Linked DNA regions of Macaca fascicularis. The protein of the gene in region 2 interacts with the protein of the main gene of each other region in a pairwise test. Links are inferred from orthologs where the notes say so. Each region holds a gene or a part of one and is shown on either strand. Other genes may lie near its edges.

Region 1 (9,938 bases), on a different chromosome or scaffold from region 2:
GTGAGTCAGCCTGAAGCGACCCCTTCCTTCCCGAGTCCGGTCCCCATGGCCTCAGTGACCCTGCCCTGGCCTAGTTCTCCTGCCATCTGCCTGCCCCTATGCTCCCCGAGTGTAGGCATTCCCATAGGCCTGTTCTCGGTGGCGCTCTGCTCCCAGTCCACTCCATCCCACTGACTCTTGTCACCTTGACAGAGGGCAGGCTCTCCCTCCCAAGCTTTGTCTATATATCCAAAAACCCGTGTGCGTTGCCAGTTGCCATTAGAATGAAGGATCTGCCTCCAACCTCAGTCTGTCTACGGCCAAGCTCTGTCATGCCCTGGTCCTGAGTGGGTCGTCCCCCTCGCCCATGCTTTCTGTTTGTGATGCCACCATGTATTTTCATCGTCCCCAGATTCAACAGGTCACCTCTGACTGCTCCTCCTCCTTCCTCCTGTCTCCAGGCAGCCTCCCTTGCATTCCTCACATCCTTGGCTGAGTCTCAGCCCATCTCTGCTCGGCCCTCCGTGCTGACCCCGCCGCCCCAGTTAGCTCAGACCTCACGGCTGGGTTTCTGTCTCAGCCTCAAGTCCTTCCGTGGTGTGCTGGGGAGGGGGCCTCTGCAGACACGTTTCTCCCTTGCTAGGAGCTTCCTGTTAGGCTTTGCCAATGGTAGTTCTGGAAGAAGAGGGGAAGGCCGGCGTGAGGGGAGAGGACGTTGCTCTTCCCGCCTGCTTCTCCTTTTTCTTAGCACTACCCTAGCAATGGCCTGCACCCCAGCAGCACTAACTGCTTCCGGTCTTGGTTTTTTTTGTGTGTGTGTGTGTTTCCCTACTCCTAGACCAGCCTTATTGTTGCCCCCAGAGGAACCAGCACCAGTGGGCAGTGCCCTCTTCTCAAAGATCCACACCTCGGCTCCCAGGGCCCCTCCTCCCTGCTTCTGGGCTGAGAGCCCCACATGCTTCCCTCTGCTTTCCCAGCCCGAGAGGCGGTGCTCCTTCCTGCAGTTACTACCCGTGCTGCCTCAGTCTCCCCCTTTTCCTCTTCCAGTCCTCCAGCACCTGTGTCATTAACATCCTACTGAAATCCTCACCACTGAAAGGCCGAATAGAGTTGCTGGTTTTTGCCTGGCCCCTGACTTACGTAGTCCTTGGTACCGGGAGTGATGTTAAAACACAGACCCTCCAGGATGGTTTGGAACTGATTTGGTATGTCGTGCCCTGAACACAGGGCTGGGCTCCTCCCAGTGGGAAATGGGTCCTGGTGCTCTGTGGCATGCGGCGGGTGACTGAACTCCTGAAGGTGCTGGCACCAGCCGGGCAGGGCCCCTTCTTCAGGGGTCCGGATCCCAGCTCCCTGGGGCTCTTCCAGCTTCTGACACCCCCGACCTCTGCCCGCCACTCTGCGTCATCCCAGTGCTGCCTTCTTGCTTCCTCAGTTCTCCACCGCCTGATGAACCGATTCCATATAATAAAATGTCTCCGCTGAAATGGCGACTGCGCTTTCTGTCTTCCTGACTGTGCCTCAACTGAAAACACTTCTCTCCTCTTCTTTCTCTCTCCCGGCTCTAATCCGCCCAGAGCGTGGCATCCACAGATGGACCCTCATAACACAGTGCCTCCATCTTGGCAAACCTTCACACAAACCCCACTGAGGATTCCTTCATGGCCTACCCATCTCCACGGTCAGCCCTAACCCACCTTCCCACTCTCTCCCCAACAATCCCTTACCCCAAATCTGGGCTCTGCATTCCTGTTCTCCCAGTCCCTGAAAATTCCTCAAGGCCACCTCCTTCCAGGTACCCCTAGACCAAATTCAAATCCCGTCCATTCTCTGCAAGGAAATCTCAAATAATACCCTTCCTGCACAGCCTCTGAAGGCCATCTCTCCCTCCTTCGTCTTTATCTGTGTGGCTAATGTGGATCATTGCTCAGTGGCAGTGCAAGATGTGATGTCAGAGCAACCCTCCCAGGAGGCTCTATTACTATCTCCATGTATATCAAGAGGCAGAATATCACGGTACTTAAGGGCACAGACTGTGAAGCCAGATTCCAGCTCCATCACTTTCTAGCTGTGTGACTTTAAATCAGTGAGTTAACCTCTCTGTGCCTCAGCTGCAACACGTATAACACAGGATAATCACAGCACCTACCTTGCAGAATTGTTATGAGGATTTAATGAGTTAGTATGTACAGTGCCTGGCATAGATAAGTGCTATTTAAGTGTTTTTTAAAAAAGTAAATAAAATATAGATCAATGTCAAATGTTGTTTTCTCTCTTCTCCAGAACCAGAACAAGCAGCAGCTGTGCCTGGAGGTATTTCCCCACATCTGGCACACAAAGGGCATTTGCTTTGTGTTCGCTGTGTTACAACTTATCACGTGCATCTTAATTCTTCCTTGAATGCAACTGCTTCATGCTTGCATGCCCACTGCACCTTGCACGGTGACTCAGACACAGCAGGTGCCCAGTGAGTATCTGTTCAACACATTAACACTTGAACTGAACATCAGGTCCTTCAATGACTAGTTACGTGAGAGAAAAAACAGAATAACACAGTTTCAGCAGTAGGGCTGTGGGTCATGGATGGGAAAATAAAACCAATGGTGTGTGTGTGGCAGGGGTGAGTGAGGGGTGTCAAAGGGGGTTGATTTCTGGGCTGAGGTCTTTTGGCCCCTGGGAACTTTCAAGAGGAAATGCTGTGGAAGCCTTGAAGAGGCTGCAGATTGAGGCGCAGGCTGGAGTTCAGGAGCCATTAACTAGGCAGTGGCTGCATTCAGGTGAAAGAACTGCCCAAGGGAGTTGGGGTAAAGAAGGGCACAAAGAGGCCAGGCACGGTGGGTGGCTCATGCCTGTAATCCCAGCATTCTGGGAGGCTGAAGCGGGCGGTTCACTTGAGGTCTGGAGTTCGAGACCAGCCTGACCAACATGGCGAAACCCCATCTCTACTAAAAATACAAAAATTAACTGGGCATGGTGACATGTGCCTGTAACCCCAGCTGCATGGGAGGCTGAGTCAGGAGGCGGAAGTTGCGGTGAGCTAAGATTGTGCACCACTGCACTCCAGCCTGGGAGACAGAGTGAAATTACGTCAAAAGAAAAAAAAAAAAAGGGCCGGGCACAGTGGCTCATGCCTGTAATCCTAGCACTTTGGGAGGCTGAGGCGGGCGGTTCACCTGAGGTCAGGAGTTCAAGACCAGCCTGGCTAACATGGTGAAACCCCGTCTCCACTAAAAAATACAAAAAATTAGCTGGGCATGGTGGTGGACGCCTGTAATCCCAGCTACTCGGGAGGCTGAGGCAGGAGAATCGCTTGAACCCAGAAGGCGGAGGTTGCAGTGAGCTGAGATTGTGCCATTGCACTCCAGCCTGGGCTACGAGAGTGAAATTCCATCTTAAAAAAAAAAAAAAGAAAGAAAAAGGCCCAGAGGAGCACAGCTTGAGGACTGTGTAGCTTCGGCTAAAGCCCTGGAAATCAGACTAGGACCCAGGGTCTGGATCATACAGCTCTGCCGATTCCAGCTCTGTGACCCAAGGCAAATGTTCTCATTTTTCTGGGCCTCAGTTGCCTCATCTGTAAATGAAGATGGCAATAAGACCAATCCCCCAGGGTTGCCATGAGGATTCAGTGAGACCACCTGTACCGAGGGTCTAGCACCGAGCTGATGCACCCAAAGTGCTCATTAAGTTAGCTCCATGATGAAAATCGAATGTAAAAAGAACACAGAGAGAAGCCCATTTAAAAAAAAAATGTAACTTCAGAAAATAATGTTCCCACCTTATCCATAAGGAAATTAAAGCTCAAAAAAGTGCTTTGTCCAAGATGACACAGCCAGTAAGAGGAACAGGCAAAATTACTTTTGTTACACAACACTGCCTCCTCTGGTGTTCTGGAAACTGGAGACTCTCCTGAGAACCATTAATTTCTTTTGCTCCAGTATGATTCAGTTACTACTGTCAGTCATCTTTCTGTGTGACCCTTTTATTTTCAAAGTATAAAAGCTATTAAAAATATCATAATTTATTCTCAGTCTGGAAGAGGGGAATTTTTTTAAAAAGAAATCTTTTTCTCTATATAATTTCTCACCACTTCTTTCCTGAGCTGGCCAGGGAAGCCTGGAAAGGTCACAGGTCTGAACAGAAACACGAGTTAAGAGTTTTGGAGTTGGGCAGATCGAGGGGCTGAAATCCTGCCTAGGAGCTTCACTAGGGGTTGACCTTGGCTGACATCTCTCAGTGCCTCAGTAAGATCAGAACAATCCAGTACCTGGCCAGGCGCGGTGGCGCATGCCTGCAATCCCAACACTTTGCCAGGCTGAGGCGGGCGGATCGCCTGAGGTCAGGAGTTCGAGACCAGTCTGGCCAACATGGTGAAACCCCGTCTCTATTCAAAATACAAAAAAAAAAAAAAAAAAAAAAAAAAAAAAAAATTAGCCGGGCATGGTGGTGTGTGCCTGTAATCCCAGCTACTCAGGAGGCTGAGGCAGGGGAATTGCTTGAACCAGTGAGGTGGAGGTTGCAGTGAGCCGAGATCGTGCCACTGCCCTCCAACCTGGGTGACAGCGTGAGACTCTGTCTCCAAAAAAAACAAACAAAAAAGAACAATCCAGTACCTAGCCCAGTGTGCTATGGTGAGACGATTACACGAAATATGTGTGCCTCACATGCAGTAAGGACTCAGTAGCATGCATATGTGTTTCGTAGTCTATAATCCAAGCTATTGTTTTTCTAAATGTGCAGAGTGATACAAGGGGCACACTACAAATGTGCATGCCATATATTCATCCATTCTGAAAGTATTTATTGAGTACCCACTATGTTCCAGGCATTGTTCTGGATGCTTGGGATGTATCAGTCAACAAAACAAAGATTCCTGCCTTTGGGAGTCTCAACATTTATGCCTTTCTTGGAAAGGGGCAGCACAGTAACTTTGGGTCTTAAAGGCAACACACAAGTGCCTTTTGCAAACTCTGGTCACTACACTCAGGTCACCGTTATCAGAGGGGGTGAGGTCAGGGAAAAAAAAATCCCATAGTAAAGACTACCAAAGTCACTGATGCCTAACTTTGGGGTACAGTAAATGTTTAGCTAAAGCACTCAAGGTTTGCTTAAGTTTTGTTTGTTTTGTTTTTAACAAGTCTGCTCCTCTAGAGTTTTAACTAGTGATTTTTTAACGAGTCAGCTCAACTGGTAAAGGTGGTCTCAGAGTATGTGACAGGGAGCAGGGGGAAATCCACCGGAGCTGCGAAGTGCCCTGGAAGATCATTCTTCCGCGCCTAATGTAACTTACTGTATCAGTAATTGCAGTAACTCGCCTTCGGCAGAGAGAAAGGAAAAGAAGGTAGGCAATTTAGGTGAACAAAAGCTTTGGATGAATTATGAAGGCTCTGGACTCCAGAGACCACCGTATTCAAGCGCAAATTTTTAGACTCACCTGCCAGGATGCATTTGGCTGCCAGCTTCACCATGGTAACCAACACTCCCGCGAGCCGTACCCAGAGCACAAGAGCGGCTGCTAGAGGCGCGGGTGGGTGGGCTTCGGGCCCTGGGCTGGCCTGGGACGGGAAGGTGGGGAGGGCTGATCTCAAGGGCCAGTGGCCGCGACGGGACTGGGGATGACCAAGCCCGGCCCTTCTGGGCTGAGGGCGAAAATCGGGCGCTGGGGGCGGGTGGGCAGGGGAGGGCTCCAGGTGGGCCCGGCTCGAGGCCCGACACGGCAGTCTGAAAAGGTGCAAGAGAGCGGACACGGTCTGTGCTCCCTGCCCAGCCCCTCAGCACAGCCCTATCCAGCGGGATCAGGGAAAGACGACCCGGCTCTCCTCCGGCCACAAGTACAGCACCTAACGCACTCTCTAGGTAACCATAGCCCACCTGCCCCGCCTCCTCCTCCTCGCTGACCCTCGATTGGCTGCCGCCAAAAGCTCTCACCCTCGAGGGCTCCAAAAACCCAATGGGAGTAAGGAGTTGGGATAACAGCCTTTTCTTGAGATGCAACTCGTAGGATTATCTGTTCTTCAAGTTCATTCTGCTTGACGAGTGGTTGCTATTGACGTCAGTCAGCTTTATATCCCGCCCCCGCTGCGCCCCAGAGTCCCGAGATAAAGAAGCCTCCACGTCAAGCAGCCAGAAGCGGTGATAAAAGAAGCTTTCTGATTGGTTAGAGTCTGGCTTGACCCGTTTTCGGGTTGAATGGGGATTCGCCACTCCCGCTGTCCTTCTAGAAGTGGGTTCGCCTACAATGGGGCAGGTTGGGCGCCAGACAGTCTGGAGTGGCGCCTGCGCAGTGGGCCAGGTCGCGGCGTAGAGGCCGTTCTGACTTTGTTTGACTTCGCAGCGGTTCTGGCGGTTTCCCCGGTTCCCGGGTTCTGCACAACGCGGCTATGACAGTGCATCGAGAAGTTCAGTCCTTGCCCCGCATCCCGCAGGGAAATGTAATTTTTAAAGCCCAAAAATGTTATGAGCTTTAAAATCTAAAATATGAAAGTGTTTAAAGTGATGTTTGTGAACAAAGGGAGAACAAGTACACTTTGATGGGGCTGAGCGGTGAGACTTGGAAACTTGAGGTCGTATTTTCCTCTTAGTCCATTTACTCTCTGCAAAAGGAGAATGCATCACTCACCTCGTTGCCCATCACCCAGGGAGGCTCTCTGTGCGCATTTACCGGGTTGGGGGTGCCTCTTCCACGTGGTTGGGGGTCAAAGACCTAAATCACTGCCATCTCCCTGACCTGGGCAAGTCATCTCATCCCTCAGTCTCTCAGGGTGGGCCTAGGAGAACCTGCCTCGTGGGGTGATTGTGGGGATGGAAGGAGAGAAACTTGTAAGTGCCTGGGACATAGTAAGTGCATACATGATTGTGGGGTGGATGGGAGAGCGGAAGCTTATCTGGACAGATTTGGTTTATCATCACTGTCATTGGTTGGCCGAATGTACCCCCTGTTGTCACTCCTTTGGGGCCCCTGGGATCTCTGATGGCTGACGCTGAAGGGAAGAGCAGCCTCTCAGCAAAGGTACCTGCCTGAAAGTTCCACATTCCCTCCAGACGCCTAGAACATTCCACCTCTCTGCCACTCTCCATCTCAGGGTGGCCGCCAGCCTTGTGTTGGGGAATAAACACACACTCTATGAATGACTGATGGTTTCAGCTGCAAATCCAGAGTAAATGCAAGTTGTCTGAAATGTTCTTTCCTTGGAGTTCATTCCTGGTGTTACAGTAAAGGTCTGTTTCTCCTTCATTCTCCGTAACTGCTTTTCTTCTTTGGTGACATCACGTGAGTCGTCTCAGACACCCCAGGTCCGGTGAGCAAAAAGCTTCTTTCTGGTCTTCTGCCTCCCTCTTGCCAGCTCCCCTCCAGGTCAACCTGTTCACCATGAGTAACCCTGTTAATCCCATAAGGGGCCCCATTCAGTGCGTCACCCTCCTGAGGCAGCTCCACTTAGCTAAGACACAGACACACATCGGGGCAGCCTCTGAAGCCTCCGTTCCTTCATTTTGCAAGGTGGGTAATGACAGAGCAGGGACATCGCCAACTTGGAGAAGCGCCGCCATTTTAAAGTTCCCCTTGATCAGAAACTGCCTAAGTCCAACCCAAAGGTCATCAACCTAAGGGCTAATGTCAAAATGACCATAAACCACAAATGACATCTCCAATCAGAAACATTACAACCCTAAGATAAACCGCTCCCCCCTCCTCCACCAGAAACATGCAACCACATAAGCCCTCTTGGTGACTCCAACAGATGCTCATGTTGAGAACTGCTTTTCTTAGCTAATGCCAGAACCCACCTTTATCTACTCTGTTGGGCCATTTTACTGTTTCTCAAGCTCTTCGGGAACGTTCCCACCTCAGGGTCTTTGTACGCACTGTTCCCAATGAAGCTGTATGATTTTCCTTCATAATCTTCGGATCTCAGCTCAAATGTCATGCCTTCGGGGAGCCCTCCCAAACACACAATTTAAGCATCGCCCCCAATCTGTCAGTCTCAATCTCCTTGACTTACTTTATTTTCTTCGTAGCGTTCACTACTGCCAGAGATTACACAGTCTGTCCCTCTGTATCCGCGGGGGATTGGGAACCACAGATATCAAAATCCGGGGCTACTCAAGTTCCCTATATAAAATGGTGTAATATTTGCACAAAACCTACACACATCCTCCTGTATACTTTAAGTCACCTCTAGATTACTTCCAGTAACTAATAAAATGGAAATACTATGGAAATATTGGTATACTGTATTTTATTTGTATTATTTTTTATTGTTGCTTTTTTTTAATTTTTCTTTTCCCCAGATGTTTGCAACGTGCAGTTGGTTGAATCCAGAGATGTGGAACCCGTGGATGCAGAGGGCCACCTATATTCCATATTTATTAGTTTATTTGTATGGTATCTGTCACCCTCCACTAGAAGGTAATCTTCATGAGAACTGACACTTGGTCTCTTTTGTTCACCCAGTATCTAGGACAGTCTCCAGCATGGTGAGGCACCCGGTAAATACTTTTGAATGAATGAATGACTCTCATAGACTTTACCCTTCCAGTTGTGTATTCATTCATTCAATAAGCACCAACTCTTGAATACCAATTTTTGGGCAGGCAATGGGCTTACTGCTGGGAGGTGTGCAATGACCATTCATATGGGGTGACCTGATCCTGGGTCCTCTCCCACCCCCAGCCCGCACCCCTAGTTACACCCATATGTTCTGTGGAAGAGGAAGGTTTAACAGTCCTGCTTCCCAAAGCCAGGGACTAGACTGTTGGGGCTGATTACCAGGGCTTTGGGTAAGAGGGGAGTGGAGGGGCAGCTGCTGACAAGTTGTTCCCAGGAATTGTTCAATCATCCTGGGGCTGAACACGTCCAGACATCCCTGAAGAGCAGCATGCGGATGAGCTGTGGCTCCCTGCCGGGGACAGCAGCAACCTTCCACGCACAGCGCCAGGGCTGATCATCCGCACTGCAGGGCCCAAGCCCCTTCGCCACTGTGCTGTGACAGCCAGGGGGTTCTCCTGCTGCCTGGGCCCCGTCACAGCCCTGTCATTCACAGAGTGTAGTAGCAGAATTGTTGGATGCAATCCAACAGTTGGGTAAATAGGAGGTTTTAGGGGAAATGAAATAACTGAGAGTTATTCTGCATGAATTCTCAAGAAGAATACCTTTCACACATTAAAGCAGATTTGCTCAAATGCCCTCATGTCAGAGGCAATGCCAAAAAGAGAGTGCTAGTAGATTTGTAGAAATTTTATGTATTTAGATCAGGGTTTCCCTACCTCGGCACTATTGATACTTAGGGGTGAAGTGTTCTTAGTTATGGGGGCTGTCCTGAGCAATATAGATGTTTGACAGCATCTCTGTCCTCTGCCCACTAGATACCAGGGCAAGCTCCCTTGCTGAGACCACCAAAATTGTCCCGGGACATTGCCAAATGACAATCTTCCACGGATGAGAAGCACTGATTTAGATGTATGAACCCACTGAATAAAGGATATTGACTTTGCACTTGAAATCTGCAAGACCATGGGACTCGGGCTTCCTGGGCTTGAATCCTTGTCTTGCCACCTCTCCTCTGTGTCTCAGTCTCCTCCCATCTGCTCTGGTAGGCGCTTTGAGGCTTAGAAGAGTCGCCACATGCAAGGGGTCCCCAGCACTCCTGACACGTGGTGAGACTCAGGGAGCACCGGTTCTGATGAACAGCCACTGCGGTGGCCATGACTCCCTGGAGGGGGATTTATAATGCGGTGGTGCAGTTCTGTTTTACAATTTCCTATAATGCACTGTCGCATCTGGTGCACTGCCTTCACTTGGTAATGACCTTTGCTGTTCTTTTTTCCACTGTTCACGTGGGCCTGGTTGTTTATGTCTCCGCTGATGCAGTGCTTGGCGGTGGCCATCTCAATAAAGGGCAGAGGAAATGGGACTGACTCACCTTCTGTGCGCCTGGAATGCAAAGTGGAGGCCTGAGCTGTGG
Region 2 (10,174 bases):
AATCTTACCACAGCTTTTGACACTATTGATACCAGAAAAACAGTCAGTGTGGGATGAATTGTCAAGCCTTAGTTTTAAGAGGAGAAAGATGATGAATTCTGTAAATACAGATTGATAAACTTGAATGCTAATTCTCAACAAAACCCTAAAATTATTAAAATTCATTATTAAAATGGTAGCCTTGAAAATGTAACCAAGGAAGTACTAAAATTGGAAGTAGCAGTAACATTAGTTTACAAGCTAAACCAAACCTATACATTTCTGTTTGTCTGATGGAATTCCTACCCATTTGGAACATGTTCTAAACATTTCGACAAAGCTTCAGACAAAGCTTCTCAAGATACCCTGTGAACCCGACAGAGAAATATGAATTGGGTGACAGCCAGTACTCTAGGTAGATATTTCTAACTCTGAGTGGCTATACTCAAAGAATGATGATTAATGGAAGAAAATGAACTTGTGGAGAACTTCTATCCTTATCCTACTCAACATTTTTATTAATTAAGGATGCACAAAGTATGCTCATCAATTTTGCAGACACAAAGCTTGGGATGTCAGCTGATACGCTAGGTGACAGAATTAGCATTCAAAAAGAAATGAGTAAGCTAGAAAGATGGCTTGCAATGAGTAAGTCATCTAATAAGGATAAAAGTAAAAACCTTTACTCAGTTTTGGAAAAAATCAATCATACAAGGGTTAGTCTAAATCAGGGGTTAGCAAACTACTGCCTGTGAGCCAAATCTAGCCTGCCATTTGTTTTTGTACTGCCCACAAGCTAAAAATGTGTTTAACATTTTAAAATATTTTTTAAAATCAAAATATACTGTGACACACAAAAATTACATGAAACTCATATTTTAATGTCCATGAATTATATTGGAAAGTGGCTATGCTCATTCGCTTATATATTGCCTATGGCTGATTATATGTTACAGTGACATAGCTGAGTCACTGAAACAGACTACAAGGCCCATAAAACCTGAAATATTTACTATTTGGCCCTTTACAAAAAAGTGTGCCAACCTCTGATCTGATACATATAGGTTTGGTTGATCACAAAGTCAATATAAGGCAACAGTGTACTCTATCTGCCCCTAAAGGTAATGGAATGCTATCTTAGAGTTTAAGGAAGTACCACATTCCATCAACATTTTTGAACACCAGTTGAACTAAGGGCCAAGCACTGTGCTAGTATTGCAAAGACGAATATAACAACCTAGGGACTAAGACTTGGTTCTTGCCTTCAAGTTTCAGAGTCAAGGAAGATGAATAAGCATGAAGCTAATAGTATAATATACTACGTACTAACATCGTGTGACGCACATCCAGAACACTGTGTTCAGTTCTGGGTAGTATGTTTTAAGTAGGACATCGTCAGGCGCAATATTGTTCAGAGGAGAGTAAAAAGTTCATGATGATCTATAAACCATATTACATAGAGGAAGGTGAAAAATAGAAATATGACTACCATTTTTATTCTCAGTGGTGCTCACAAATGGAAAAAGGATTTTTTACACCTCCAGGGGTGTGAACTGAACTCAACAAATACACATTTTGAGCAGGAACTTTGGAGAGACAAGGACTTTCGTGCAAAGTAAAGATTTTAAATTTCTTTCATCCCTGGAAACATCCAAGAAAAGTCAGTAAAAGATCATAATCTATGGAAGAAGCCAAAGAAATCTATGGAGGAAGCCAAAGACAGGATTCCTGCATTGGTAGTTCTCTTGGACTGAGTCAAATTCTAGGAAAGGTAGATTGGGAAAAGATAATGAAAGATCTGAAAAGCCAAGTTAACGGCAATGAAGTTTATCTTGTACTCCGTACTCCAGTGGTTCTCAACTGGACTGGGGGTAGATTTTGGCCTCCAACGGACACTTCACAACATGTGAAGTTTTAGCTGTCACAACTTGGGAGGGAAAATGCTGCTAAATATACCATCATATAGAGGACAGCACATCCACAAGTAATTATTGGACCCATGTATAAATAGTGTAAAGCTGGGGAAACTATGCAGTAATCTATTTGGGGGTGGAAATGTGAGGGTTGGAGCTATAGGGAGATAACTTTTTTTTTTTTGAGATAAGGTCTGGCTCTATGGCCCAGGCTGGAGTGCAACCATGTGATCTCGGCTCAATGCAACCTCTGCCTCCCAGGCTCAAGCGATCCTCCCACCTCAGCCTTCCTAGTAGCTGGGACTACAGGCACGCACCACCAAGCCTGGCTCATTTTTTTGTTTTGTTGGGACAGGGTTTTGCCATGTTGCCCAGGCTGGTCTCTAACTCATGAGCTCAAGCGATCCGCCCACCTTGGCCACCCAAAGTGCTGGGATTTCAGGAGCGAGTCACTGTGTCCGGTCAAGAACTTGTTTTTTAAAAAAGAGATGGCCGGGCGCGGTGGCTCAAGCCTGTAATCCCAGCACTTTGGGAGGCCGAGACGGGCGGATCACGAGGTCAGGAGATCGAGACCATCCTGGCTAACACGGTGAAACCCCGTCTCTACTAAAAAATACAAAAAACTAGCCGGGCGAGGTGGCGGGCGCCTGTAGTCCCAACTACTCGGGAGGCTGAGGCAGGAGAATGGTGTGAACCCGGGAGGCGGAGCTTGCAGTGAGCTGAGATCCGGCCACTGCACTCCAGCCTGGGCGGCAGAGCCAGACTCCGTCTCAAAAAAAAAAATAAAAATAAAAAAAATAAAAATAAAAAAGAGTTACACTTCAGGGTTGATATGGAGATGAATAGGAAAGAATGTACTTCCCAAGTGTTCAGTTCTTTTCTTACCTCACATTCTTAAGTTTTCTGAGAAGCAAACACATGCTTTAATGCAAAACTCATTTCACACCTTCTATATTCAACATTATCCTCCCTATTTCCTGTTTTGGGTAGAATTACTTAAGTAGAAATGGCAGAGACTGGGTTTTCTTTATCTTTTGTTGCAGTTAATGACAAGAGACAACCAACCTTAGAGAAATACATACAATGACGCCAGTGACTCACGCCTGTAATCCTGACACTTTGAGAGGCCGAGATGGGCGGACAGCTTGAGCTCACAAGTTCAAGACCAGCCTGGGCAACATGGTGAAACCTCGAAATCCCCTCTACTAAAACTACAAAAATTAGCCGGACCTGTTGGCAGGCGCCTGTAATCCCAGCATTTGGGAGGCCCAGGCAGGCGGATCACTTGAGGCCAGCAGTTCAAGACGAGCCTGACCAACATGGTGAAACCTCGTCCCTACTAAAAATATAAAAATTAGCCGGGTGTGGTGGCGGGCGCCGGTAATCCCAGCTAATCCAGAGGTTGAGGCAGGAGACTCGCCTGAACCCAAGAGGCGGAGGCTCAGTGAGGTGAGATCGCGCCACTGCACTCCAGCATGGGCTACAGAGCGATGATGTCTCCAAAAAACAAAACAAAAGTGCAGGTTTGGGAGGTAGTCTAATCCCCCACCCCTTCAGAACAAGGTAATTTCCTCAGGGCCGCAGTTTACCAAAGGTGGTACACTCTGGGGTGCTATCCTTTCCATTTTTTACAATCCCTGACCCTGGAATTCCCTGATGCTTTATCCTGTCTTTCAAATTAGGGCCACTGGTTTCGTCCCCAGTTCACCCCTTCATCGCTAGCTCACATGCCCTTTGTGGTCCTTCTTTCTCCAAACCTCTTCAGGTCAAGTCCTTAGAGGACCTTCAACCTGACCAGCCCCCTTGGTTCTGGTGCTACAGCTGGACTCCTCATGCTCTTTCAAGTACCATCCATTGGGAACGTGGTGTACTTTAGAAAACGCGGACCTGGCCTACGGCTTGTCTCCGCGGGGACAAGGCCACCGCTTCCAAGACAAACCAGCCCTGGCACCACCTTCTCACCTCCATCCCAAACCCTCCTCCTCAGTCCCAGGCCCTGTGGAGACAGACTTCCGAGGGCCCTAGAGCCTCAGACTTGTGGAGGCCTCGCCCCAAAGTATGTAAAGAATATAATAAATGCCCCCGACCTTAAGTACAATTCATAGCTAGATGGCTTACGTTGCGGCTGACAGCTTACATTTTGGTAGGCTAATTAATTTCGATTTACAATTGGTTTTCCCTTTTGGTGGTCAAGACGCTATTTCTGGCCTCAAAGAGCTTCGAGGCCTGGCACTGGCGCCTCCAGGGTCTAGAGGAGAAGGCGGGTCCGCGTCAGACCTCCCGCGACGGCCCTTCCACGCCTCCCGTTGCTCGTCTTTTCACCACCCTCCACTGTTGCTCCCTTCCCACCAGCATCCCCTTCCTTCTGCCTTGCCCGGCCAGGCCCCCACACCCCCTGGTACCAGCCTGCCCACCCCGCGGCCCGCTCGCCTGGGACTCCCCTTAGTTCTGGGCGCCGTACCTTCCTGGCTCGAAACCTCCCTTTCGCCCCGCCCCACGCAGAGCGCCCCAACCCACAGCCCCGCCTCCTCGCCGCAGCCTCAGCGGAGTTCGGGACTGCGCGCGCTCCAACTCCGAAATCTTCGCGCCACGCCTCCCACAAGCCCCGTCTCACCCTCAGCCCCGCCCCCTCGCCGCGACCACAGCGGAGTTCCCGGGCGCGCGCTCCTACCCCGAGCTCTTCGCGCCACGACTCCGACAGGCCCGCCCTGCCCTCAGCCGCGCCCCCCGCGCCGCCGCGGCCTCCGCAGAGTTCCCGGGCGCGCTCGCTCCTACCCCGAGCTCTTCGCGCCACGCCTCCCACAGGCCCCACCCCGCCTCAGCCCCGCCCCCTCGCCGCGGCCTCGGCCCCTCCTACCCCTAGCTCTTCGCGCCACGCCTCCCACAGGCCCCGCCCGCCCTTGACCCCGCCTTCTCCAGCTCCCATTACTTCGCGGGCCAAGATGCGCAACCACTCCCGAGCGCCTTTCCCAGGGCAGTCCCAGGACTTGCGCTGCCTACCCTCCCCCAGCTCAGCTGTATCCCTGGGGCCCGCAGGACCCAGGGGATCCGCCCTCCCGCGAGCACGCACGCGCAGGGCCCACCTCTGCTAGTTCCAAACCCTCGGCCCTCGGGTCGCCTGCCTGGGGCCCGGCCCCGCCTCTAGACCCGGCCCCGCCTTCGTGCCGGGGCCCGCGCACGCGCGCCTCCCCGGCCCAGCCTTGCCCCCGTCCCCGCCGGTCCCGCGGTCCCACAGCGCCTGGTTGCCCCCAGCCCTCTCCCTCCTCCCACCCTCGCTGTGTCCCACCCTCCCTAGCTTTGTGCCCGGGGTGCTGAGCCGTTCCCCGTCAGCCGCGCCGCGGGAGGAGGGAGCCGCCACAGAGGAGCTGCCGCTCGCTGCCCCGGGCAGGGGCACAGGTAGGTGGCGGCCGCGGGCCGGGCCGCTCGCGGGGCCCCGGGTTGCGTGTGGGAGCGGGGGCGGGGTGTTAGGGAGCGGCGGGGTGGGGGAGGGGAAGCCCGAGAGGGACGGCGGGGCGCGGGTTGAGGGGAGGATGAGGTATATGGGTGTGGACGATGGATTTAAGGGTGGCGTAGGGGTGCGGGGGCAGGCTATGGGGACGTGTGAGAATTGGGGTTCGGGGCCGGGGTGGGATAGGGAGCAGGATTAGCCTGGGTGGACTCGGGGAGAGGCACGCGTGGGGAGAGAGCGGAACGAAGGCATGCGTGGGGAGAGAGCGGGAAGAAGGAATGGGGAAAGGAAATGGGATTTTAGGGGTTCAAGGAGGAAAAGAGCTAGGATAGGAATAGAGAGGGTGGGGTCTTGGGGACAGGGAAGAAAAGTTGGGGGTGTGGAATGCCAAGTTAGGGATAGGCGTGAAGGAAGAAGGTCTTGAAGATTGAGAACAGAAGGCAAGGAAAGGGTTGGAGAGATTGGGGGCCTAGGAGAGGGAAGCCCCTAGAGTGGGAAGACGGGAAGAATAGATGGTGGAGGGAAGGAGTGGGGGTGGAGGAGTTGGGGAAAGAAAGGGAGGCAGGTGGAGGTTGGGAGATTGGAGGTTGGAAGGGTTGGGTCTGTGGAACAAGCAAGCCACCTTTCAGCAGGAGCACGGAAGGGCTGGAAGGGTCTGAGGCTTGAGGCGGGCAGGGGAGCTGAGGTGAGCGAAGGGAGTGGGGTTAGGATTTTTGGTGTGAGAAGCGCTAGAGTTGTTAAGAGTCACATTGTGGGAGAGATTGGCATGTTCTTGGGGGGCAGTAGGGAGCCTGAGAGAGGAAAAGGTATGGATGAGAAGGCAGTAAAGTGCATATTATAGGAAAAAAGTAGTGAGGAAAGTTGAAAATTGAAGAATGGGGACACACAGAACAATGAAGGTGGATTGTTGGTTATTGCTGGTTTAGAACTACCCACAGTTTAGTTTCTGTTCAGGTTTTTATTTAGAAATTTTCCCAAGAATACTGCATTTTCAGATAAACTAAGTGTGGGCAGCCTTGGGATGAAGGCCATGGGCTGGCAGATGTTCTCCTGGTATATAGATGTAGCTCATTTTGGGCCTGGCAGAGGGAAGAAGGGAGGCCTCGTTGTAACTGTCTTGGCTCTGTTCCCACCAGCTCTTTCCCTAGATGTGCACCGGTTTTCGTTTTTTTTTTTTTTCAATCTTATCCCTTCCCCCTCCCCTCAGGCTTCAACCAGTGAATACTAGAGGGATCAAACAGGTGGGTGAGATTAATTTTTCACATTTTTTTTTTTTCTATCCTTAAGGCTGATGTCATATTTTTAGTCTTGAGAAACAGCATCATGCCAAGGAAAGAGCTTGAGCTTTGCAGTAATGCGACCCTGAGATTGAATTCTGGCTCTGCCACTTACTAGCTCTGTTCTAGAGTAAGTTATTTTACTTCCGTGGGTCTCTTTGTCTATTAAAAGGCAATACTGACCTCATAGGTTCATTAGAGATTACATGAGATCACTTTATATAGTACCTAACAGTGCTTGGCAACTGGTAGGTGCTTAATAAATGGTAGCCATCATCCAGTATCGTTAAACATCATAGTTATTCCTACAACTTACTATTCTTAGGGGATTTTTATCTTACTTTATCTTCTGAAGTTAGGTATTTTCTTCTTCTCTTCAAATTAGCTGTAAATTCAGCTCATAATTTTACCCTGTGGGCTCCCTGATAACCCCAGTTCACCTGACTGGGATAGTCATGCTTTTTGCTTGGAAAACTGGATTCAAGGTCTAAAAAACTGTCATGTGTAGTATCAATAATTTTATCTGGCCTTTTTCAAGAAAGCTGTATAGAACTGAGTTTTTAATGTAATACAGCTATGTTTCATTCATTTGATGAAATGGTACACTTCGTGGTAACTTTGGCTCTCTTGTGGTGACCAAATGCTAGAACATACATGATTATAATATTTTTCTATGCTGTCGTATGGGTTACAAAGCTGCCTTACTGTAGCAGGCTGGGAGACTATCAAAATGTCGCTGTTACTCTTGATCCAATATATAATACAGCTACTACGATCTACATTGGACATTGTTATTATTGTAGTGACTAAGTATTTTAATTTTTCAATTTGGATGGGGTTTTCACCATGGTTTAGAACAGGTCCATTTGTAATACACCACCCTGTACACCATCCTGTACATTAGCGAGGGTCAAATAAACCCAAGTAGAGAAGTTTTATGTAGAATTCTCTTGCCTTTCTGGTCCTTAGCCTTGAAGGGTTCAAATGTTAATTTAATGCTTAGATCATGTTATAGTACCTCAGATCATGTTATAGTACCTCATAGACTCTCAGGAAGCTCCTTTTTGGGAGAATGCAGGACGTGCTGATTTAGTAGTAGAAATTAAAGGACACCAGGATTCCTGAACCAAAGTCAATTCCTCCAGTGGCTTCTGGACAAATGATGTGGGTTTACTCTCCAGGAAAAAATTGTATTTATTTTTTCCTCATTTAGAAAGAGAAATGGTATTTGATGGGTAATCTAAAGAAAAACAAACAAAAAACCAGAACCGTTCCCTTTTCTTGAAAATGATCCCTGGAAGCCAAAGCATCCCAGATTTTGAGGAGCCCAGATTAGGGTCCTTACTCTAGTCCCAAGCTGCTTGTGCCCTCTGCTGGATGGAATCAGACTTCTGATTTTCATCTGAAGTGGTCACCCACCCACCCAGCCATCCATCCATTTGTCCATTTTACAACAGTATTTGTGGAAGACACTATTAGGGGTGAGGGTTGGGGGCAATACAGATGGGCAGACCCTGTTTCATTGCTCAGGGAGTTCACAGTGTATTCATCCACTATAATAGGGTATCTTCCATAGAATTTGTCTTTCTGTTGTTAAAATCACGTCAGTCCTTTTTAGGGCCATACCTAGCATCTGCTTTCTGATCTACAGGTAGAGTAGAGCTCTGAATGTTAAATGACAGGGATAAAAAACCAAAGGACATCTGCTTTACTTCCTCAGTCAAAATTAAGGTCTGCAAGGTTGGAGGGTCCAGATGCTCACCCCTACTGGAAGAAGAACTCAGAATAAATGAGGCATCTCCTTAGCAGCAGGCGCTGTAAATGCTGGCAAGAGAAAAGTATGGGTTGTAAGAGCTAGCACTGTGACAGAATTTTTTTCCCCTTGTTTTTTAGTTTAGTTGTCTCCCACCCCTTGTAGTACCAGTAGCAATATACTCCCATCGTCTGCTTTGCCTTTGCCACCTGCAGAATGGTCTGGCAAGTGGGGGAGGAGCCTGCAGCTGTTGCCTGGAAAAGGAGCTGGCTCCTAGCAACAGTATCAGCAGGCCCTGCAACTGAGAGCACTAAGTTTGTCCTTTGAGGTCTTACCCTTCCTTTCATACAGTTCAGCAAATATCTTTTGAGGGCTTACTTAGTGCTAGGCACTATGTCAGGCCTGGGAAAGATAGATGAATCAAATAAGTACCTTGCCTTCAAAAAGCTCACCACTCTGGGTACATTAACAAGTGAACAGACATAGTACATGGTGCTAAGTGCTATGTAGGAGAGACTAGGTGCTCTGGGAAAACCAGACAGGCACATACTGGTGCAGGGGTTAGGGAAGGTTTCCCAGAAGAGGAACGATGTTAATGATGAGTAGGAATTAGCTAGGTCAGGGAGGCAGAGCAGGATGTTCCAGCCAAAGGGAACAGAACGGGCAATGGCCAGTGGGACATGAGAGCATGGCCAGTTTACCTGGGTAGTATGACAGGGCCAAAGATTGTAGGACATAAGGAGATGAGCAGGAAAGAGTGAGGCTCTAGAGCTAGGCAGAATACTCTTCTCTCGTGCTTTTATACACATAATTATCCTTGAGAGAAACATGGATAGTACTGATTCCCACACACAGGACCATTATTTCATCTCCAGAGACTCAGCATTTTTGATCACGGACTTAAATGTGGCTGACACTCGTAAGTGGCTTCAGGGCCACATTGTGGCCCCACATTGATGCAGAAGAAGCTGAGTTGGTTCACTCTAAAACTCAATCATATTCTTTTAGGGATATTATCAGGCCTGTATGATATTCTACCTCTCTTCTCCCTTTAAATTGTAGAAATGATCATCAAATAAATACCTTCATTTTATTTAACATAGCACTTTTTCATGTATTTTGAAATCTCACGGTTACTCAGGAGGAAAACAAGTATTCCAGTTCTTGGGCACATAATATTACCCACATGACTGCAGAAATGCCCAACTGTTTGACTTTTTTATGTTAAAACTGCCCTAATAGAACTTTAATAGATACGAAGTGTCCAAAGGCTAGAATAGCTTTTATGTAGCTCTTGTAGTGGAGGTGTTTATTTCTAGATTAAAAAAAAATCCTGTTACTTTTGGGCTTTGTAAAATTTAGCAAATGAGTAAACGTTGGTTGCACACTATCTGCTCAGGGACTGTAAGATGCCAGGGCACTGTGTTATAGAGTCTGCATGAATTCAACATGGTTCCCCCTCTCAAGGAGCTCAAAGCAGCAGATGGCAGACTCAGAAACAAATAAATAGAACAGTGAACCAAGCGCAACCAAGAAGTTTGTGGACTGTGTCAAGCTAGCCAGGAAGTTAATTTATTTCTAGTCTTTTTTCTGTGTGTAAACACATTTTTAAAAAATTTATAATTTTAATCACTTTATCACATTCCATGGTACGTATAAGTCGAACGTATTTATTAACATCCCAATTATTGGACATTTAGGTTATTTTCCAATTGTTTTGCTAGTATAAACTTGCTGCCATTAATTTACACATAAATGAATCTTTGCTGACATCTGTGACAACTTCCTTAGTGTGAATTTTAAA

The links. The genes of interacting proteins can lie anywhere in the genome.
Region 1: the proteins of IFT25 (region 2) and IFT27 interact in binary tests that used the Homo sapiens proteins (3 or more experiments, as listed by UniProt). The two-hybrid records come from large-scale screens. The link is inferred for Macaca fascicularis from reciprocal best matches to the Homo sapiens genes IFT25 and IFT27.

Annotation. Positions count from the first base shown.
Region 1 is NC_088384.1:14,889,458-14,899,395, reverse strand, and holds the start of IFT27 (intraflagellar transport protein 27 homolog), read right to left. Parts: upstream 5,869-9,938; 5' UTR 5,445-5,868; coding exon 5,411-5,444; intron 4,361-5,410; coding exon 4,244-4,360; intron 1-4,243. UniProt on the Homo sapiens protein: Small GTPase-like component of the intraflagellar transport (IFT) complex B that promotes the exit of the BBSome complex from cilia via its interaction with ARL6. Not involved in entry of the BBSome complex into cilium. Prevents aggregation of GTP-free ARL6.
Region 2 is NC_088375.1:180,726,235-180,736,408, reverse strand, and holds the start of IFT25 (intraflagellar transport protein 25 homolog), read right to left. Parts: upstream 5,036-10,174; 5' UTR 4,822-5,035; intron 4,696-4,821; exon of another isoform or gene 4,507-4,695; intron 4,398-4,506; exon of another isoform or gene 4,011-4,397; intron 1-4,010. UniProt on the Homo sapiens protein: Component of the IFT complex B required for sonic hedgehog/SHH signaling.